Linked DNA regions of Lepisosteus oculatus. Each later gene encodes a partner of the first gene's protein in a complex. Links are inferred from orthologs where the notes say so. Each region holds a gene or a part of one and is shown in the gene's direction. Other genes may lie near its edges.

What was found.
Region 2: the proteins of klb (region 1) and fgf19 are in contact, whole or in part, in a crystal structure (PDB 6NFJ), measured with the Homo sapiens proteins. The link is inferred for Lepisosteus oculatus from reciprocal best matches to the Homo sapiens genes KLB and FGF19. Residues at the interface, in NP_783864.1 of Homo sapiens: Phe379, Lys380, Val392, Leu394, Trp419, Phe420, Thr421, Asp422, Val425, Thr431, Tyr434, Met435, Asn438, Tyr643, Glu693, Arg696, His743, Asn824, Phe826, Met832, Gln848, Phe849, Leu850, Gln851, Ile853, Leu862, Phe931, Phe942; in NP_005108.1 of Homo sapiens: Leu192, Thr194, Asp195, Ser196, Met197, Pro199, Phe200, Leu202, Val203, Thr204, Ser211, Pro212, Ser213.

What each region holds. Positions count from the first base shown.
Region 1 is NC_090696.1:68,395,383-68,407,129, reverse strand, and holds the start of klb (beta-klotho), read left to right. Parts: upstream 1-6,667; 5' UTR 6,668-6,875; coding exon 6,876-7,604; intron 7,605-9,152; coding exon 9,153-9,666; intron 9,667-9,991; coding exon 9,992-10,260; intron 10,261-11,747. Other genes in the region: rfc1 (replication factor C subunit 1), read right to left, coding at 1,364-1,430, 2,929-3,048, 4,108-4,110.
Region 2 is NC_090716.1:5,539,118-5,550,100, reverse strand, and holds fgf19 (fibroblast growth factor 19), read left to right. Parts: upstream 1-5,687; 5' UTR 5,688-5,763; coding exon 5,764-5,989; intron 5,990-6,768; coding exon 6,769-6,872; intron 6,873-8,528; coding exon 8,529-8,852; 3' UTR 8,853-10,092; downstream 10,093-10,983. UniProt on the Homo sapiens protein: Involved in the suppression of bile acid biosynthesis through down-regulation of CYP7A1 expression, following positive regulation of the JNK and ERK1/2 cascades. Stimulates glucose uptake in adipocytes. Activity requires the presence of KLB and FGFR4.

The sequences.
Region 1 (11,747 bases):
CTTCAAGAACATCACTACCACAATATTCTCAATTTGCCTTTACATGCAAAAAGTATGTATGAGGCAGGGTCAGCTCGACTGCATCTATTAAGCTCTATGAAGGTTTTTAGTCACGTTTCTAGTTTAGATAAAGATACAGAGCTGAAGCAGCCCTTCCAAAGGTTGTGAATTATTTTCTGGCAGTTTCGGTCTCCAGATAGATCACTTACTAAGCTCGCCCTAGAGCTGAATCCCATGGAATATTACGTAGGGATCACCAGTACTTCCTTACTGGCATACTCACATATTTTTAACATTATTATTTAATTCATCGCAATGCTACAATTTGCAGTGCAAGTTAAGTTAGGAAGTGGCTAAATAACATAGTCCTACATTTCAATACCTTCTACATGCAAAATATATATTACAAGAAAAATCATTTTATGTCTATTTTTTCCATAAATACAGATTATGTTTTAGTATATTACGAGCAGGTATCAGATGAATGAATGAGTGCCTTGTTGTGGTGTAATCTATGCATAAACCCTCAGTATTTAGTACTTGTTTGCAGCGATCAGCAGCAGTTGTTCTTAGCAGAAAAACAGGATAAGCACACTGCATTTAAGATCTTTTGGCCCTTGATAAATAATTAATATTTTCTTAACATAACTTACTCATGAATAATGGCACATTGTGATGTGCAATCCTGAATAATGCGTAAAAATGAAAATGCAGCTGTCTTTTTTATCTGCAACAATATTGAGAAATGTCAGCGATAGAGAAAGCATCTCTCTTTTGCTTCAGTTTCAACTGCAAAAGTGAGCACTGTTTCGAACCATTCTCTCAACACTCACTGAATTGAATTACCAATGCCTCTACGTGACACTTGTTTATATCATTCATACAAAACTCGTCAACAGAGAAGGTGCTTATCAAGCCATTTACTTTTAGTGCTTCTAAAATCCAGGGATTTCACCCCAAGGACCATCTCTCTAGAGCTTCAGGCTATATGTAAGGGGGCCACGTTATTGCCTACTATTATGCTGGCCAGGCAACAGAACAACACAGCTTGTCAACCCATTTGTACTCATATTTGAAAGTCATGAAGACTACGATGGTGGAAGAAAGTGATAAAAAAAGCAATTTTGCCCAGGAAACATTATGATCTTTTGCTTCCAATCTGACACCCACTCAGAGGGCGTTCATCAGCTTTTCCAAGAAACAATAAGTATCAGCACGCTGGCCTGAAGGCCTAAACTCCAGCTGACCCACATCACAGAAATTCAATTCTGCCATTAATAGAGGAAATGTGCGAGACCAGAGTGTGGGCCATCATCAGAGCCATCCGTCTGCCATGTCAGGAGGGGACTTCAAGCGGACACACCTGAGTTGATGATGTTACGTTTCCTTCGCTTTACCGATGACTTATCATCACTTTTGGGACTCTTCCCCTGAAACACACAACACAGATGCAGATGAGGAAACAGATAAGGTTCTCAATGCACTGCAGTCTGACCCATTTCTGGTTGATGAACTGCATGATCATCAAGAATCCCAACATCCACAGATGCTGAGATGTTCAGGTTTATTAATTTAATTTACCTTATACAGTACATTTGTACACCCAGTACTGCAATACTACTAATGAAACACACTGCTTTCTGGCTTTAGTAGTGACCTACAGCTGTTGAAACCTGTCAAACTGTTTTGTAACAGAAGTGATGCGTTCCCTTAAAGATGAGGTCCATCCCAATGGATGGGGACAATTTCCCTTTAAAATGAACACTGTCAATTTTCACCTGAGATCAATGAAAGGATCTATAGGAACTGCTAAAAAACAAAACAAAAACATCTTTGAGACAACCATGCAGATTTCGGAACCTGTCACTTTCTATACAGGCTAGAATGGTGACCCCTGGTTTGTAAGCTTGCTCAAGTAGTTTCTCAACGCTGATTTGCACCATTCAGTGCCTGTTATTGTGTTTTAACACGTATTTCGTGCTGAAAGGGGAACTGCACTCCCAATTTCTCATACTGGTTATTAGATCTCAGTAACAAAATAAATGCATTGACTTTATAAAAAGATTTACAAATTCCAAATTAAGCATACAATTGTGAACTTTCTAGAAAGCACTAAGTCTCAATGTTGTCACAAACTCGCATTCGAGTTCCCACTAATTGAGACGTGATGTTGCCCTTCCTGCTCACTAGTCACTATAATGACTAATGTAGTGCGATGTATGAGCAAATAAGTACAGGTTGTACCGCAGCTATTTCACCTCAGAAATGTTCCAATGTCATCTGCGTGCAGAGCTAACAAATAAGTAGCATTTGTCAGCAAAACCGTCACAAAATCGAGAGCAATATTTCTACTGGATTAAAATTGGATTCAAAAGCCTGTTTGTTTACAATGTAAAAAGCTGCATCACGTCACCGGAAGTTTTGTTGTCTCATTCTGAATCGCAGGACTCAGCGCCGTGGATACTTGGAAATTTCATCTATATTGTGGTGTAACAAAATTTTTGCAAACTACTTTTACTGTGGTTGGAAATGCACTCACCCAAGTGATTCTTTTGAACCACGGAACTATAAAAACAGTGTTGAAGTTCCCCTTTAAGGACTTGCCAACACCAAGATGTTATTGTTGTCCACATTACAATCTGGACTAGACGGGACCCAGACTAGAACGCAGCTGGGACCCACCCTCCAAGCCCAATTTCCCTACCCCAGATTTGCTGTTTGATTTATGTGGGGTAAATGCCAAACACCCCCCAACAGAATCATGATTCAGAACCGGGCCTGGCTGCAGCGACCTGTGGGCGAGTCCAGAGCTCTTTCATTGAATCCAGGCCTGCGTGCCATGCCTTGCGGACATACACGAAGACCTCTGGGACACGCTGGCCCAGACAGGTGACCGCTCTCTCTATCAGTTTCCTGTCAAGCACTGACCTTGGATCCAGACTTTTTCACCTTCACATCACCCTCAGCTTTGGAGGACCTGTTCTTTGTCAGCCTCTCCTTCTCCCCAGCTTGGTTTTGCAACTGAGACTGGAAATACTTTCTTATGTCCTGCAAACGATACACACGGCCACGCAAGGTTAGCACTCCGAACCAAAATAACGTGTCAGTTGGTCCCCCGTCATGAGAGCTGGACTTTCCAACCTGGCTGAATGCGAGAGTGGGACAATGTTGGTTTTTTTTAAAAAAAAGATCTGTACACGATAGGGAAATTTGTATTTGATCTGTTTTACATTAGGAAATACTCAACAAGTTCTCTCAATACAAATGCTTTATGAGCATCCTGTAATGAGGTGAGAAACAGCCACGGGATTCATGTGGATGCAGCTACTGTAAGGTTGAACCCAAAAGGATCTGCATATGTGAAAACTAGGGATGTCCAACACGGGTCCCGGAAGGCTACAGTCTTCTACACAACCCCCAATTACTTAACTGTTACAATCAGCCCCTGCAGTTCACTCGTCTTTGACATGTGGACAGGAAGAACATATGTGCACATCTGCAATTTCCCCTCCCGCGTACCCAGAGCTTTGGTAATTGACTCTCCCGTATCTCTCAGTTTTCCAGCTAAGGGGTTTTGAAACGTGCAGCATTTAACAGAATTGATTTTGAAAGCAATTATTGAATTATAAATTCGTCACAGCTGTGATAACTCTACCGAATCAAAACATCGTTCCAGTCAAACGACAGATCGCAGATCTGCAGCGCACGATATTTTTAGTAAGCGCAATGTACATTCTAAATCGAAATGTACTTTGCGAATCCGTATGCGTTCAGAAAAACAGTATTACATTGAGCACGTTTCTCGAACGTCTTAATGCGATTAGTCTCTGTTTCTGCAAGCGCACACCTCTTTTAGTGCATGAGAACTACGCATTCATGTTAAGTGCCAACTCTAAGAAAAAATGTGTGTGTTAGATGCTTGCAAAAATAAGGCATTTTTGCAAAAGGTGTGAATAAAGTACTACCCCACCACTTTAATTTAAATCTCGGTTTAAGCCAGAGCTACTTCCAAGTCAAACGTACTTCTCTGTAAGCGAAATGGCACATTTCGAAACTTGCAGCTGTAACAGTGCTTGCAAAGCCACGAACGCCGCAAGTTATACTCACCATCGTATATTATATACGATTTCTTGAATGTTTAAAGCCAGTGTGCACCTCCAGTGCTCTTCCAGCTTGGCGCCAAGTGCATTCCTCCCAGGTCGCTGAGAAATGACGCAAGCCGCGGCCGCTGTCAGCGCGAGGCGGGCCGAGGGTGCCTGCGCAGTGCGGCCCTGAAGCTGCGGAGGAGCGCGCCGCAGACGGACAGGTGCAGCGCGCGTGCTGGACATGCACCCTATTGCCATGTGCACAACAGCGTTTGTGTTATTGTAGTTTTAGACATGGCCAATGGTCTTTTCAGTTCTCCTGATATTAGTATATAGCTGTCAATATACTGCAACATTTTTGGCGTGCCAGTATTGAATGCCCTTTGACCTATGTTCATCCAGCTGCGGTGCATTTTTTTAAGTTCCTTTCCATGTACTATGCCGATCTGGTATCATTTTCAAACTTGATTAGTTCATTTAAATGATTTAGGAAGAACAGACACCTATATCTCCCGAAATGTAGCTTTTGCTGCACAGCTCATCTGTGCTCTCAATTTTCTATTAACCAATGCTGTATCCAATTTCACGCTTAATACCATCATGTTGTAGGAGACTCTAATTTTGCAAACTCGACTAGTTTTCCATAATAGTTAGAGGTGTTTGGAGGAGCAGTAATCATTATACAAATCCCAGTGGGCATATAATTAATAATTAATAAATTAACAAATAACACCAATTTGAGTATTCACCCCTTATCAGTACCCAGTTTTCTGTCTATTAGCCAGCTCACAATCCAGGTACACACAGTTCATTGAATGTCTGACACCTGCAATTTGAGTATTAATCTGGCAGGAGGAAATTCATCAAAAGCCCTCCAAAAATCTAAATATACCAAACAGTGTGCTGACATATCCATTAGTGTTGTTGCTTGTTCAAAGAACTCTAACAAGTTGTACCTTTCCGCTAGAATCTATTTTGATCATATCCTGTTTAGGTCTCTAATTATATTCTCCCAGTCCTGGCCAAATTTCCCCCTGGCCTTTACCAGTCATGGCCTCCTAATAATCCCCATTAATAAACTGTGTTCATCGCTCTGTTCTCCTCCCCACTGAGAACTGGTGTGTGGGGAGCGTACTGGTGCACTGTGGCTGCTGTCGCATCATCCAGCTGGGGCTCCTTATTGGTGGTAGTGGAGGGGAGTCTCCATTACCTGTAATACACTTTGAGTGGAGTTTCTAGAAAAGTGTACATATAAGTGTAAGGAATAATTATTGGCAGTAATAGTACTTTCAGAATGGTACACAGTGGAAATATTTTTATATAGTTTTACATATATACTGTACATCACACATTTTAGTATTATAAAATAGTAGTTTTATTGTCTGTAGTCTGTAATTGTTTACACAGAGTTTTAATTTGAATTTTTAAATTGTCATATTTCATTATCTGCTCTTGCCAGCATAAACAGCAAATGAAACTTCAATTAAAGAAATAACTGATGGCAAAACACTGAAATCAAATGTGAGCTCTAATTAGGAGGGTCTGGACACTGTCAATGAGTTTAAATGAGTCCTGTTTCATCTGAAATTTACGATGCCCTCTCCTGCAAGTCACATTTAATCTATCTTCTGGAAGAAGAAAGAGCCAGACGAGATTTTTTTCCAAATATCCCTTTAATTCTTTTCACATAGCCCTGAAAGGGCGATGAAAGAAAAATGATCAAATATCCCCTAGGCTTAGACAAAGTCTGAATTCACACAGTATGGCCCATGAAATTAGTACAGAACATTTAAATATATTCCCAGGAGAAATACTGTATTTGTAGCTCATCACTCGAAAAATAAATTGTATCTGTTTCTAATCTGAGTGAGAGATTGATTCAGTGTCCCTGAAAAATCTGTAAAGAGTTAAAAAAACAATTGACAACAAATAATCAGTTTTTGAATGTTTTGGTACAATGTGAGAAGAAGGCAAAATATTTACAATTGACTTATTATGTATATATGGTAAAATTACCACCTACCAATATATTGTATTATATCCACATCCACATTGGATAAAGCAATGTGGTCTTAGCAAAACAATATTGCTTTTGTAGGACAATGTAATATCTGTTCATAGCTGATGAGGTAAATGATTGGCTTGTCACGTGGTTTAAACATTTATGTTAAACCAGTCATTTGACATTACCCAAAAGATGACATCCTCTGTGCAAGAAGTATTTGCACAGAAAAGAAGGTGAGACCCTTCCAGTGGTGGTCCAAGCTTGCTGCTCTTCCACTCCAAATTGTTTTTTTAAATCCTGTCATTTTCACTGGCTGCTTCTTGCCAGTCTCCAGTGAACGCCGATATTTGCTCAACACCTGCAGTGAAGGGGGTCTCTCAGATGGCATGCAGTCTCTGTGCACCGTGTGTGCACATACAGTGCTCTGCCTGCTCAGCCTGTGTGTCTTTATTCCGTTGTGCTGCAAGTGTGTGTGTGTCTGAGCAGTCTCCCAGGGCAGAGCGTGCTAGGAGCCGCCGAGCTGCCTTCCCGGAGCACACTTCTCCCTCCTAACTCATCCTTGGGATCACAGTTCAGGCTAATCATTGACAGAGGTCCAACTTGCAACAGAAGATTGTTGTGTTTTTTTTTCCCACTGGCACGATAAGGCAGTCCAGCAGCTCAGGTCTTCAGATGGCCCCAGCTCAGCTTGGCTGAGCTCTCGTGTGCTTTCCCTGTCCTCTGCTCCAGCCGTCATGCTCGTCTCCCTCGGTTTGGGCTGGATCTGAGTCCCAGGGGAGCACAGGATGGGTCCCCTTGCTTTAAAAAGCCTGTTTGTGCTGCTCCTGTGTAGCCGGGGGGCCGTGGTCTGCCTGCCAGGAGATGGACGAGCCGTGTGGAGAGCGCAGTCCAGCTCAACCCCCGTGGACGCCAGCCAGCTGTTCCTGCACGGCACGTTCCCCCAGGACTTCCTCTGGGGAGCCGGGAGCGCCGCTTTTCCGAGCGAGGGAGCCTGGGACCAGGACGGCAAGGGCCCCTCCATTTGGGATCACTTCACTCGCTCCCAGCAGGCTCCGGGGTCTGGCACCTCCAGCGACAGCTACAGGCTGTGGGAGCAGGACGTGGAGCTGCTGAAGCACCTAGGGGTGCGGACCTACAGTTTCTCCATTTCGTGGCCCCGGCTGTTCCCCAACGGGACCGGCGGGGCCCCCAACCTGCCGGGGGTGGAGCACTACAATCTGCTGATTGACCGGCTGAAGCAGGAGGGCATCGAGCCCGTGGTCACCCTCTACCACTGGGACCTGCCCCTGGCACTCCAGCAGCGCCACAGCGGGTGGCACAGCGACGCCCTGGTGGATGACTTCGAGAGCTATGCCGCCTTCTGCTTCCAGAGCTTCGGGGATCGCGTCAAGTACTGGGTGACAATGCACAACCCCTACGCGGTGGCCTGGCACGGCTATGGGACAGGCGTGCATGCCCCCGGAGAGAGAGGGAACCTCACAGCTGTCTTTGCTGTGGCTCACAATCTAATCAAGGTGAGGTAGCGCGGCTGATAAGACGTAATGGGTTTTTTTTTTCCGTGCCTGATCTATCTGCAGCCTGGCATCATTCATTCAAGGACCCAGTCGCTCTCACACAAAGCCTGACTTTGTTTCTCAAGTGAAGCTGCTGCGGTTGCCTTTTTGTTATGTGCACTGCATAGTCTGCTCTACGGGTCAGTCATAATGATTATTTATTTAAGGCTCAGTGGAGAATGGGGAAGGGAATGCACAGACAGCATAGCATACACTTCTCCAGCGCCTATGATTTATTTATCATGATAGTCAGGACTTTGGTCTTTTGGTTCAGACACCGAGAGGTAATGAAATCCATAGGGGAGGATTCTGAAGAGTTCAGTTCTTTTCCATTTGTTTTTAGAATTGTTCTTTAAACCTCAATTCCCCTGTTTCCTGCATTTTGCAGCAACAGCCCAACTTCATCTTGTATAATAGTGATAGCTTGACAAACACAGATCACTGTAGTTTTTAAAGCTCGTGCTAAAACAAAACTCATTTAAAACTTGCCGCGTGTCTGAATGAAACAACATCAGCCCACACTGCTGGCTTCATTTTCTCACCCTGACAAAGACAGAATTAGGAGTCTCAGAATAATCCTAAAAACTAATTTCCTGTATTTTATATATAAATATAACCTGCAAGGAATAACCTGCTGTTGTCATGTGCCTCAAAAACATGGTTATATTAAACATTGTTCAGATTTTCCAAAGCAGCCTGTTTAGAGTTTGAGTACCTATCAAAATCTTTACTTAATACATAACCAGCAACAATTACTTCCAATTCTTTCAACTGCCATTTTGCAGTGACTCTTTTACTGCTTTCTCGTGTTGTACTATGCCCACACCAGAAAAGGCACACCACTTAAATGACACGTAAGTGAAGAAATGAGATTTAAAAACAGGAATTAAAGTCCGGGAATTATGACAGTCTTAAATTACTTGAGATATATAATAGATTTCGAGTAAGAAAAATATATCATTTTTGGGCACGATGAAAAGATACTGATGAATGACAATTCTGATTTCACAGGGGGGAAAATGAAAAGCGCTGATATGATACTATATTTCTGTAAGAGTTGACTCGTGATTACAAACCCAGGCTCTGACAGGTTTCCGTTACGCAGGAAGCAGCCTCTAGCAAAATAAAAAGCTGCCATCTAGCGTTAGTTTTGAAAACTGCGATGACAGGGTAGGTCATGATTGACAGCACGGGGACCCCTTGCTGAGCCCCGAGTTTCTGGAAAAGTCAGGTGTACAGCAGAGGGCTTGAAAGGTTTTTCTAGTAGCCTTTTATTAGAACATTTTCTGTTAAAGAATCTCACCTGTGACCCTGTGTTGTGTAATGAAATTCCACTTGAGTGGATCGCTAATGCTTCTGAATAATAAATAATTTCTATTTGTGATGACCCTCAAATTGAACAAAAATGTGTTCTTTTTCCTTAAAAGGCTATTTAAAAAAAAACTCAATCCTTGACGATTGAAACACTGATGCTTCTTCTTGCTCTTTTGATTGCCTGTTTCGTCTTAGGCCCATGCAAAAGCGTGGCACACGTACGACAGGAGATTTCGAAAACTCCAGCACGGACAGGTGTCCATAGCTCTGGGATCTCACTGGATAGAGCCGGAGGGAGGGAAAGCCAGCCCATTCAACGTGGAAAAATGCCAGGAGTCTATGGAGGCTGTTCTGGGCTGGTTTGCAGAGCCCATATACGGACAAGGGGACTACCCGACCCTCCTGAAAAACAGCACACATGGCCTCCTCCCTGCCTTCACTGCAGAAGAGAAGGACAACATTAAGGGGACTGCAGACTTCTTCGCTTTTTCGTTTGGGCCCAACAGCCTAAGGCTAGTACACAGTTCAGTGAGGTTTGGCCAACACGTGTCACTGAGCCTGAGACAGGTGCTGAACTGGATTAAACTTCAATACAACAATCCCAGAATTCTCATTCTGGAGAATGGGTGGTTCTCAGACACCAGCGTGACTACGGAAGACACTGTGGCCATCTACGTGATGAAAAAGTTCATAAACCAAGTTCTGCAGGGTGAGTATTAGGTGTAGGGTCCTGCTGGGTGCTGCTGTTCATGACTTGGTCGGTAATATCGTTTCCACAATTCATTTTTTGTGTAAGTTTCAGAACCATAATCTGTGTGAAGGATTGTGTTGCTGTTTCAACTCTTCCAGAAACTGATAGAGTATTTTAGGAAAGCACAGGTATTTAATAAAAGTTAGACTTATTATAACTGCATTATTGTCAGATGTACAGGTACTTGATGTGCACTTCACTTTATCAGGGAGAGGTGAGCCTTTAACAACCTTACAGAGAAGAACGCCAAGCTTCATGTTTCGGCTTTGTCTTTATCTTTCAGCAATGCTACACGATGGTGTGCAAGTCCTGGGTTATACCTTGTGGTCTCTGGTGGATGGTTTTGAGTGGAATTACGGCTATTCAGTCAGGAGAGGGCTGTTCTACGTGGACCCCAACAGCAAAGACAAAGCAAGAATCCCCAAGACATCAGCTGCTTTCTACAAACAGGTCATCAAAGACGGGGGCTTCCCTGGAAGGGAGGGGGACGAGGCTGTCCAGGGCCAGTTCCCCTGCGACTTTCACTGGGGCGTCTCCGACTCCGTACTGCAGGCAAGTGAAAAGGGCAGGAGGAGACAATGTGCACTTCTCTGGGAATAATCAGGGGGTAACTTGTAATAAAGCAAAGGTCCTAGTGCTCCCGCCTTACGGCTCAAGCATTGCAAGATATGCCAGCAACCCACTTTGCACCGAGTACGCACTGGGTCTGACACAGCATCATTGCCGTCTTCATGCACTTGTGCGGCGATGCAAGATACAGTAGATCTCATGATACAGTGCAGCACGCTTCACCAAAAAGAAAACCATGACGTCGATGCTACCAGATACTTCCATAAGTGTGTCATGGAGAGCAAATTCTGATGTATGATCTTCACATCGCCAAGTAACAGCGCCTGCAAATCAAGTGTTTTGGATATTTGCATTTCTGTGTGCTGTATAGTGTTCTCCCCAAAATGATGAACTGCTACTGGATTAGGCCAAGCACCCACATAAAACAAGTACTTGTCTTAGGAACTTGTACTTGGACAGTGTAAGACTGTCTGGAAACAGTTATATTAACAATTTGCAGCAATGTACATGTGTGTGTGTGTCATTTTTTTATCGCATTTACCAAATATTGTGCTGTATTGCCCTGCGTCTGTAAATATTGAAAAGGTGGGGACACTGATATTTAGGTTCAGGGTTAACCGTGAAAGTTTAAACCCAATTTTTAAAATGTTGACAGTTAGGCTTTTCTGTGGTGTAAGAGTGATGACCGGATCTCCGTTCGCTTTCGCCTGCTTGAGTCACATACAATGGACAATCAGTTATCAGCAGATAACTCCTCTATGCTAGACCAGCATCTCACCTACAGCTGGAGAACTCTACACTGTCTAGATTTCATGGGACTCTTTCAGTGCACTGAGCCTTGTTACGTACGATAGAAACTAAAATCTTCAGGGCATGGGTGAAGTCGTTTTACTTGAATTCTAAGCTAGCATGTCTTCAGCTTCAGGTTTTTCTCAAGACAGTTCAACTTTCACAAAAACAACATAAATAAGCCCTCATACAGGTCTTTAGTGTTTATACCAGAGCCCCTAAATTTCATACTTGGATGAAATCAGTGCTCTGTTAATTTCATAATGCAGTGGATTCACGTCAGATACAGGAAGCCAACTTTCAGCAGCAGCTGTAACAGCAAAGATCAAAACCAGTGTGATTATTCTTGACAAAGAGCTCCTGCCACTTCATTCTCAATCAACAGATGACCTGCTGATGACACGGTTTCATGCAAAAAAAGATGTCCTGCCAGGAGATACTGATCTCACGCACATGGAAATAAAAATAAGTAATTGAGAGAATTACTTATGTATTGATGTAAAAAAAGATTCCAGTGAACCCTTGTGATGAAGAGCAGGTTATTCACCATTAAAAATACGTTTCTTTTATTTCTCACTAACTACAACAGAGAAACATGAACCTAATGATAATAGTGAAAACTAGGGGGAAGTGGATTTAACACTTAAGAGAATAGGTGACATTTGCAGACAAAAGGCTGT
Region 2 (10,983 bases), on another chromosome or scaffold:
AACAAAATAGACAGGACAGGATGGGAGGGGGGAGGGGAGGGGAGTTCAAACTGCTTCTCTGAAGGTGTACTAATATAGTCCCTTTGTTAAAAGTATACTGCAGGTCAGTGTTCTTCTCTTTCTAGGAAATCTAGCAAATGTACCTTGCCTTGTGTGTGACTTGGGGAGGGGGTCTAAGTCCTTTTTTATTACCTTCGCCACACAGCGCATTTTCCTCTTTATAACTACATCACCTTTACTAAATGGTAAACACCACCAATGCCAAATAAAATACACAGATTATTAAAGTTAGACTTTGCTTTCTCATTTTTCTAGTTTGATTTCACCATCCTACATGTGTGCTTAAAACACCCCAGATAAAAAAGCACTCCAGATTGCAACACCTGTGGAAGTTTATTTTGGCAAGGGAAATCTTTTGGAAGCAAATGAAATTGGTCATTCCGCAAAGGGGGTAACAAGATCACAGTTTGAACAGATTCTTCACCGGAAAATGTATACTACACAGACTTCGGTAATTTTGTAAGTTATTAATTCATGTGCAATGAAGCAAACAAATTAAAAAGAACTATGGCTTGCATCATACTCATAACATTGCAGGGAAAAGTATCAACAATCCTCTGATTAAGTAATATTTGAAATTTTAAGCTTAATATTTTTCAAGATTTATAGGACATAATATTGATGTCTGTATATTCTTATCACACCAACCCTCCTGTATTCACAAATGTCAAAAATATATCATTGACAAGCATAATTTGATATAAATCACATGCACAAAAAGCAAAATAACATCTACTTGTTCCTTAGTTTAATAACGAACTAAATGAATTAGTAAAAACGAAGTATGTCAATACTATTGTCAGTGCCCATAAAGTCCAAAGAAAACTGTGTATATTGGAATAGCAGTATATCCCCCTACTGTAAAGCTTTCCTAGGAAAATAGTGATGAATAGAGCTTTTATTATGTTTCAAAAGGCAACTTCATCATCAGTGCTAGTAGCACAATGTCCAATATGAGATGGCTATCTGTTCAGGAATGCATGATATTAATGAGACAAAATTAGGACTGAGAATTAAACAGCATTTTTCTCTTACCCTATTCCTGTCGAACATTTCAACTTTTTAAAACACAGAAACTGATAGGGGGAGGAGCTGAATATCTTCCTGATTATTTCATAATTAAGCTGCTCCTATCCAGAAACTGTCACCCTTACCTTACACAGGCAAATGAGCTGTAAGAGTGTATTACATAAGCTTCCCTCCCACTAATAAGGCAAGAACAATGTTGAGTATACAATAAATCTATACAAAGTGAAATTTCACAGAGAAGGCATAACAGACCAGCTCTAAAGGGTGGCTGAATGCAGCCATTACACATGTTGCAGTAGGAGGAATAGGGTCACTTGTTAAGAATGCTTCTGGGCTCTCAACCCTTACAAAAGAACAAAATTATACATTATTGTGAGATCAAGATGACCACAATATTGTTACCACAGAGGTCAATATGAAATCAGTTGAACCACTTCCTAGAAGATTTTGGACAAACTGGAGAACACAAAGAGTCATTCATGGCAATGTGAGATCACTGTGGCAAATTTTAAAATACTGACTCAGTGACAATCTTTTAAAACTATTTTATTCAGTAATGCACAAAGATATGAAACATTTATTACAGTGGGTCATTATTACAAAATGTCCTGTGATTAAACTTCATTTACACCAGAAGTTAAGGGAAATTAGACTTCATACCTGACATCAAAGTATTCAGTAACACAGGCAACTCTACAAAGGGTTCCTTGATATCAGCTGGCCAATAATCACTTTCCTCATTTTACAGGAGTTGTATAACTCGTGTGTATGCTTAAATCAAACAAGTCATAGAAATGTATACAGGCAACTCATCCCAATTCTGCAAACCATCAGAATTAAGCACAAATCCCCATTTCTTTTATATCCAATTTCAAACTTGCTGCAAATGGGAAAAAATAGTACTTGCTGTTCTGGATACAGAAACAAATGTAATGCCTGCCTAAACACAAATGTCTAGTGTTATCTGCACCTATGACACCTGCAGTACAAGCAAACGTGAACCTACTGCACTCAAATCTATTCAGGGTCTCTGTGTGTAACATAGGACCTTTGCATTATTTTACAGTTTTGTTAAGACCTCCAAAATGTGCAGCATTTTTTGTGTTTTCTAGAAAACAGTTCATGCAGCATAAAGATGTGCTGATAAGAAGCACATTTGCCCTTTCTGTACAGAGGTCATCTTTATAATCCAAAAGCAATTGCCCACCCACCACGTGCTGGGGTACTACTTATTTCTTTAAATAAAGATCTCTTCCAAGAGGATAATGGATTTAATGATCAGCATAATACCAGCGGCCATTGGTTTTCAATCCTCGTCCTGTGGGACCCCTCGTCTCTGCTGCTTTTAGTTACAACTGGACCCTTAATCACTGGTGCTAATTGGTGCCTGTAACTGATCTGCACACTTGTTTCCTTGATCTAGACTTAAGCCTTGGTTTCAAAATTATATTTCCAATAACTTCGGCACATAGAACCTCATGCAGTCTCTTCAACTTGGCTATTAAGAATTTGCTTATTTATTTTAGACTAAACCGTTCTTAATAGACGGCCAAAGGCTATACGCCGATGAACAGAAAGGTGGGAATCGTGCTGTATCAGACGCTCCCACAGAGAGAGAATGTTGTTCCTTCCATTCAAGTCCAACTGGTCACATTTAATCCAAAATGCCTGATTTAGGGCAGCTCGGAAACTCAGTAATAAGGACATTATACCCATCACAAAACCAATGGAACTAAAAGCCAATACAAAAATAGGCTAATGTCACTTTTTTGTCACTATGTTGCTTTAAGCAAACAGGTGATTCAAAAACAGTGCACCAGAGTCTCCCTGACCAGGTCTGAGAGCCAATGCTACAGGCTGGGCCTAGCCTTTACTTGCCATTAACATCAAAGAATAACAGGCCTCAGCCCTCAAAGGGTGTGTATACTTCATAACTGAATAGGCATGGATCCACTCACTGGCAACCCGCCATATTTTAAACCTTTTACATATCTTGAGCAATCTTCTTGATACTAAAAGAAAAGACCCAGGATGAAAAAAAAGCACATTCCAAACAATCACAAATTGCCTAACTAATAGTGGCTTTTGCATTTGCTTCAGGCTGATAACTCCCGAGTGGGCCTGTGGTATTGTGGGTGGCAGTTCAAGCGAGGTTTGTTCTGGATCCCAGCCTTTAATTTAGATATTAATTACACGTCCATTGGAGATCTCAATCTTTATTTGTATGTTGCACAGGATGCCTTCTTAACACTGAGATTTAAACAAATGTGAAAAAACTAAGACGGCCTTAGTAAAACGTGTGATTTTTTTTTTGTTTTTACAAGAAACACAGCAACAGTAAATAACATGCCCGCAGTGCGTGGGAAAGAATTTGGAGTCCCCGGTCCAGGAGGCTATTTTTCGGGTGACGACAATGAAGAGCAACTGCTGATTCATTTTGGAGTTCATTTGTAAAATGCTTCTTCGACATTAAAATATGAATGGCTAGAAAAGCAAGTTCATTTTACTTTGCGAGGGGGCTGGAGAGAATCAAATGAAAAATGTCACCACCACCACCAACAAAAAAAACCTCATTGTATTTCATGACCTTAAAACACTTATTTGCCATTTACCTCTTGCGACTATGGTAACAGAGTTGAAATGTCCGTCAGCGAATGTCAGTCAGTGTTGGTTTTCTGTTCCCATGGGTACCTTTTAAAAGACTGATATTTAAAATGCTTTATCTAATTGGAATCCTTGTGGGTGTATTGTCTTCTGTGTGCATTTGATGTCTGACCAGTGTTACAAGCCTTCAACATTTTTTCTGCCTTGTCAGGTTAGTTTATTTCCATTAGTGGACGACTGATTGCTACAGAGACCTTTCTTGACCCCATACGAGAGCCTTACCACAAACAACCACATAACGGGTCTTAGGCAGCAAACTAGGGGGAATGGAAAATAATCAACTACCTAACGCATATTGTCTAGTTGCTTTGTATTGTAATAATATTTATTAAGTGAATTAATTACTATGCAGATAAGACATATTGAACCACACCTGTAACGGATTTATAATGATCTAAGATGTATATGGGCAGCAATCTTCAATGAAGAGTGATGTCAACAAAACATGAATGTTACACAATCCTACCTGTAGCATGACCTTGATCAGTTATTTCTCGTCTTATTAGCATACAAGTTGTGACAAAAACATTATCATAAGTACATTCATCTACATATCCCGTAGATCTTCAAATTCAAGAAAGGCAATAAATTAAAAATTTATTATGAGAAATACAAAAAAATCAACGTGCTGCATATTTATATTTATTCCTTACACTTACAGTGTTATGCAATTTGTTTTTTGTTCAATGCATGATTCATATTTCTAGCATGTCATGTACGCTTAATATGGTATGTGTTTAAGACCGTACTGTATGTTCTGTGCGAACATCCGTCAATGTACTAAACTACGCCTGCATTTCAGTTGTCAAGTTTAAGGGGGTCAAATCGGGTCTAGAAGAAAACGTAAGCTTTTGAATTTAATGCACTCCGCAAGTAGCTAGTAAAGTTCTTTAATCTTTCGTGTTGCCCGCTGTAAAAGGTTTATGCATTGGAAAAAAAAAAGTTTCCTCGTGAAATTTAGGTCTTTCCTATACATTTCCAACTATTTTTTGGCGAACAGTGCCATCTGGTGACACGAATTCCTCCGAGTATTTCCTCCTAGGAAACCACATTAACGACAATATATCATTTGCCACCTCGTTAATTTCAGCAGCTACACAGGCTGCTTATCATTACGTTATGAGACTATACTTGATACAATGTGGTGAAGATGGATTCGATGTGACAAACTAGCTGAATGCTTTGATGTTGCAAACTCAATTTGTAGTAACGGTCACCCCGCTATATTGTATTTTTTAAGATGGCAATTGTAACAGTCTCTTTAGTCTTGAGATCAAAATCTTCATGTTCTTTTAGTAAATTTATCTGACTGATTTGGATGAATGGTGAGAGCATAACTATTGAACTTGTTAATATAATTATCAAATGTTGGGTGTAACAATTCATACAATTGCTCAGCAAGAGTTTGGCGCGGCTTTTAATTCATAAGAAAGTTTATCCAGTTAGATCACCCGCTTAAGCAAAGGCTATATTCTGAACTACGTAAATCATTCAAATCACATTTTTTTTTCTATAATAAAACCAAAACGTAGATTGTGCAATATCAAAACGTCAAGAGAACCTCTGGTTATCTTTTTACATACTACCTTTTCATTTTCTTCCACAAGATACTGCAAATAAGATTTAATCAACCACACGCGATATTTATGCAAACCAAGTCATACCAATATGAATAAAATTAAAATCAGCCATTTCGCAATCAGGAATCTAAAAATCGCGAAGTATTATCTTGTACACTACTCTTAATAGTTCTTTTTTTAGCCTACGATATACGTCTTAAACCTTTAATACACTTGGTTTCCGTAGAATGATTGTTTTGCCGTTTAAATAACGGCGCTAGAATAAGCTTATCGATTGGACTGATAAGGAGTACCTTTAAAAAGGCAGGATATCTGGCTCGTCTCTATATACTACATCTCAGCCTGAGGGGACGACGGATCACTTATTTGACCTCTAAAGACCGCGTCGGTTTGGCTTGGCTTCGTTTTACATTCCAAGGAAACCTTCAGTATGTTGCACAGTGTCTGCATCGCCGTTTCCTTGACAAACCTTTTATTTTTTGTTATAGGACACGGTTTACCTCTGCCCGATTCGGGCCCACACTATATTAACGGATGGGGAGATCCCGTGAGACTCAGACATTTGTACACCGCTAGTAGATACGGGCCGCTCAGTTATCATTTGCAAATAAACGAGGACGGACGAGTGGACGGGACCATTTCTCAAAACTCAAAGAGTAAGTAGATATTTTTTGGGAACCGTGCTCAAGTTTTCGGCCGTATGTAGTAGTGGTAGCCGAGTTACTCGAGGTGTACAACTGATATTAGATCAAAGGTGCACAAGAAAACCTTGCAATTATAAGACCGTTTTCTAATGCGTGTATTTGAATGGTCAACGGCAACATTTCGGATGTGCAGTACTCGTACGCCCGTCTAAAAGTCATACATAACTAACCATATATATACACAGTATATATATACACACACACTTTAAAATTGCCTGTTTGAACCGAGTTATTTCATTTTTACCTCGGACCAGATGCCAAAAATGCAACACGTACGCTTTTCTTAATGTCGGAATTTAGTCGACCCTGACAGGGAATTTGTCATTTAAGCCCCAAGGGGGGCGGGGTAAATATCTTGTAAAAATTCAGCTCTTTCGGCTTAGAGGTGACAAAGTGGGGAAATAAGAGAATTGGGAGATGTTTAAATCAACAGTAGCGCGTAACACCTGAGCTCAACCACAATGATTTATGGTCATGCAGGGTTGCATACTACTGGCGCGTGAAGGAATGCGTACAGTATGTATTTTTAGATTAAAATACGAAGGTATATTAGGTTAAAGGGATACCTGATTACTAAAATGCATCATGCCGTTTTCATTGTAGAAGAATGCTTTGAATGAGTCAGGTCTTTAAAGTTTCCAGTTTACGTGGATCCTAAACAAACTGCAGTTTGCATAATAATTAAGAAACGCAGAAAACGGAAACTAAATGCACCTTTTCTTTTGTTCTAGGTCTAGTAGAAATACGAGCTGTTGATACGGGATTTGTGGTGATTAAAGGAGTTACGTCCTCAAGGTATCTCTGCATGGAAGACAGTGGGAAACTGTACGGATCGGTAAGTTACTTGGATTTACCAAAATGCAATTATCACATACTTTAAAGCCATATAGAAGCGATTTTGCACAACTAGAGAATAAGCCAGGTTTTAAACTTTTTAAAAGATAATACATGTAAATGTTCTATTTCCATAGCCTTATCTACATACATTTAAACTTAAATCATTTTGAATATCATGTATACTGATACACAGTTGAAGATGCTTTGTCGATAGATTAGCCATTTTGGAAAAACGCCAACCTTTATCATTCGAGTCATCTTGCATTAAGAATGACAGCTCCTTGTAAGGCGATTTTACTCGCATTTGACGTTTGCTTCTCGCTTCACATTTGAATAATAAAGTCATATTAAAGCTCTTTGGAAAGAGCTTCTTCAGTTAAAAATTAAAATATTTCTATGTATTGGCACGAATAGAAAAGTAAATTATGTAGGAAATTAGGTTTTATCTCAATGCTAGACCAGTTTGACCATTTCACCTGTTGACCAAAAGTTTGTTCCTCTCCCAGCTGAAGCCAAAAATAACAGGTTATTGTCTCTGAAAACAGATTTTACGTAAATAATCTTAAGAATGTGCAATAAACAGTACCTAAAACACAATCCAATTATAAGCCATCTTAGTGCACTTAAAGGAGTCATTCCCAATATTTCTAACAGGAAACTGAAGGAACTTCTTTTGTACTGGAATGTACATTTTTTTTAAGTGCATGGAGCACTGCATTCTTCCACTTATGCACAAATTCTTTATAGCTTAAATATACCTACCTCATTGTTTAAATGATCTTTCTGAAAATGGATTGGTTAACAGTTGTATACAATTATTCGGCTTTGTTCACACAAATAACCCCTGAAGTCCATTCCAGTATATGGAATGCTGTAAGTATGCTGGCATACTCTACATTAATTCAGGTGGGGAGCTGCGTCATGCGTAGGCTGCAAAAGGAAGAAGTAATAGGTTTATTCCATGCTGAAAAGCGAAGTAAGAAGACAACGTTTCGGCTGTGGAGCCTTCTGCTCACACCCGAAGAAGGCTCCACAGCTAAAATGTTGTGTTTTCTTTCTTCTCTTTTCAGCATGGAATAAACCTGTTACTTGATACTCTACATTCCATGCGTATGACATTTAAAATATCCTTATCTCGGATATTCAGTATTTCCACAAACCTTCAAACAAGGGCAAATTTTAACAGAACGCCGGTTATTGATACTATACATTGTATGAAATTTGAGTGTGTGCTAAATTAAGGGGATGGCTGGAAAAAAAGCAATTTGCCCTCTGTAGCTGAATAACCTTTGACCAACTGTGGGACATGCAAAGGTTTTACTTCACAAACAAAAGAAACCGCAATAGTAACCCTGGTAAATGAGTGCCTTTTTAGGCTTTGAAATATTCTTATGGGGGGGAACTCAGGTAAAATGTGAGCAGCTCTCTCAAACCCAAAGCTTAATTTTCTGCATTTCAATTACTGATAAGCACAAAACAGAACTTTATGGGTTACTTTAGCCAGTATTTGAATTTGCATTACATCGGATAGGTCTGGGCTCAAATAGGCCGATTGCATGAAGAACATTTATGTAATATTGAGCGAGTCTTAAACAATGATTCATAATATTCATCTTGTACATTTTTACTCTCATATCTTTGTTTCTCTCAAAAGCACACGTACTTAAAAGAGGATTGTTCCTTCATTGAACGCGTCCTCCCAGATGGATATAACATATACATTTCTGAAAAGCACAAGACCGTGGTGAGCTTAAGCAGTGCCAAGCAAAGACTCCAAGCAGAAGATGGAGGATTTCCTCCCTTGTCTCAGTTCCTACCAATGGTTAGTACCATTCCTACAGAGCCAGTGGGCATTGACATGGAAGGCTTTGGGGAGTCCACTGGTCTTGAGCAAGGATTAACTGAAACGGACAGCATGAACCCTTTTGGGAGTGCATCGACAATCTACATGCAGAGTCCCAGTTTCCATAAACGCTAAACATCTTTTGTGACCAGGAAAACCAGAAAAAGAGGCACGATTGAATTCCAGAATATGCTTCTGGAGGAAAATGGACTGACCTTCAGCTAAAGACTATTTGCTATTTGCTTGCCATTTTTAAAGACTAAGATAAATGACTTGTTTACAAAGGCAAAAATCCTGCAGTGATCTTGAAGACATGCATTTAGAAGATACTTTGCCACAAGAGGGAACCGAGAACTGTTTTCCAGAACAATATGCATGTCTGCGCTTTGAGCGCTTACTGTGCCACTCCTTATTTCCAGGGACTTAGATGAACATAAAATGGTGTTATTCTAAGGAAAAGCAGCAAGGCAACTGGTATTGAGCACTTATTTGTGCTTTTTTTAATTTAACTTATTTAAAATTTCAGTGTTTGTTGTATTTATGAACAAAAGATACACTTCCAGTGCACCGATGTCTACTACAATATAGAGAACATACATTTTGCATTTTTATAATTTTTTAAAATTGTTTTGTATGCATGTGGAAACTATTACATTTCTATTTTTACAGAAGGGTCACTGATCTGGAGAAACGCCAAAGCTAATTATAACCCTAACCATTAAAAGTTCATTGAACAACCATAAGAAAGGACTCAAAATGAGTCCATTGAATACATCTAGTTTGGCTTGTAGAAGTTAATTGATAAGGATCTCATCCAGCCATTTATTGAAAAAAGCCAGGGACAATTTCTTGAACATGGGTGGGTATCTAAAAGTTTACTACAAACCGTGTAAAAAAGGTGCTTCCTGTTCTCCATTTTAAATGCACTTCTATCATTTCCTCTGAGCCAAAAAAGAAGCCGTGAAGTTATTTGATCACTACATAATTCATTTGTCTTTTACATTAAAATGCTTTTGGATTAACTTTCTTTGTAAAGTAGTCTTACACAAAAGTGTAAGATTCTTGCAGCTTTAACTATTTAAACTTTTCTGTTTTTATCAGTTTTAGCTCCAAGACAGTTCTGCTCAGAAACCATTAAAGTTTGAATAAGATTTATAGGAGAATAAGTAGAGGATTTTCTGAAAGGATCACATCAACTGAATCAAGGTACTAAGATACAGAGCTCTGAATTAATTTGTTAACTTATTGTTTTACTTTTTAGCAATTACCGTGTAATCTGCTATGCGACTTGAAAGGAGATGATCAAAATGATCAGCTGTGGTTAATTCAATATTCTCTGTACTATAAATGCATGGTATCTTGAAATAAAAAACACTTTTTTACGTGTCAGCTATGCCCTTAAGTTTTTTTCTGCTGCTACTAGACGTTTGTTTTTAGAAATAACAATATAGTTACAAATACTCCAACAGGCTGCTTCTGTCTTAGGTTACAGGAACAGCTAACAAGCGTAAACCGATACCAGAGCATTTGCCAAAGGACACTTTGTTCCTCATAGTTCCTATAGGATTAATGACGGTCTGTTTTCTTAGTATCGGCTTTCATCGGTAAAATCCCATTCCCCCCCAAGTCAACTCACATCACGTTTATAGACTGGCCCATTAAATATAATGTTTGTGCATGGAGATTTTTGTAATCCGTCATGTATGTTCTGCAACAAAATCCCTCTCCCTTGGTAATTCGTTTTGTGCTACAGTACATATAACCTTCATTGAAAATCCAATGGCGCCCTCTCACGACATAAGAGAAAACCGCACGACAATTCCTGACATAAGGCCAGTGAAAGTGAACAAACTCACTTGATCAAACTGGAGGTTTGGCTTTGCGGTAGTAAAAATAAATCTTGCTATATAAAATAGATTTGGATATTCATTAGAATACTGTCTTGCTTTTTAAATGATTGACACAATCCCTTTTGGGGTTCATGCTGTTGAAGCGCACAAGCTGAGGATTTTTGCAACGTCTAATTGAAGAAGGAATGAATGGAAATGCCCCCCCCCCAAAAAAATCAAACAGCCGACATGAATTTTCAGTAAAGTAATACTTCACAACCTCGCTTTAGTCTGCTTTCTACCCATATGCTCCTTTCGAAAGGAGAGGGTCAAGCGGCACCCTGAGCTGGGGTGAGAACGACTCCCTCGCACAGTTCTTGGGTCCCCGGTTCAATTCCGTTCACGAACACCTTCTGCATGGAGTTCATGTGTCCCTT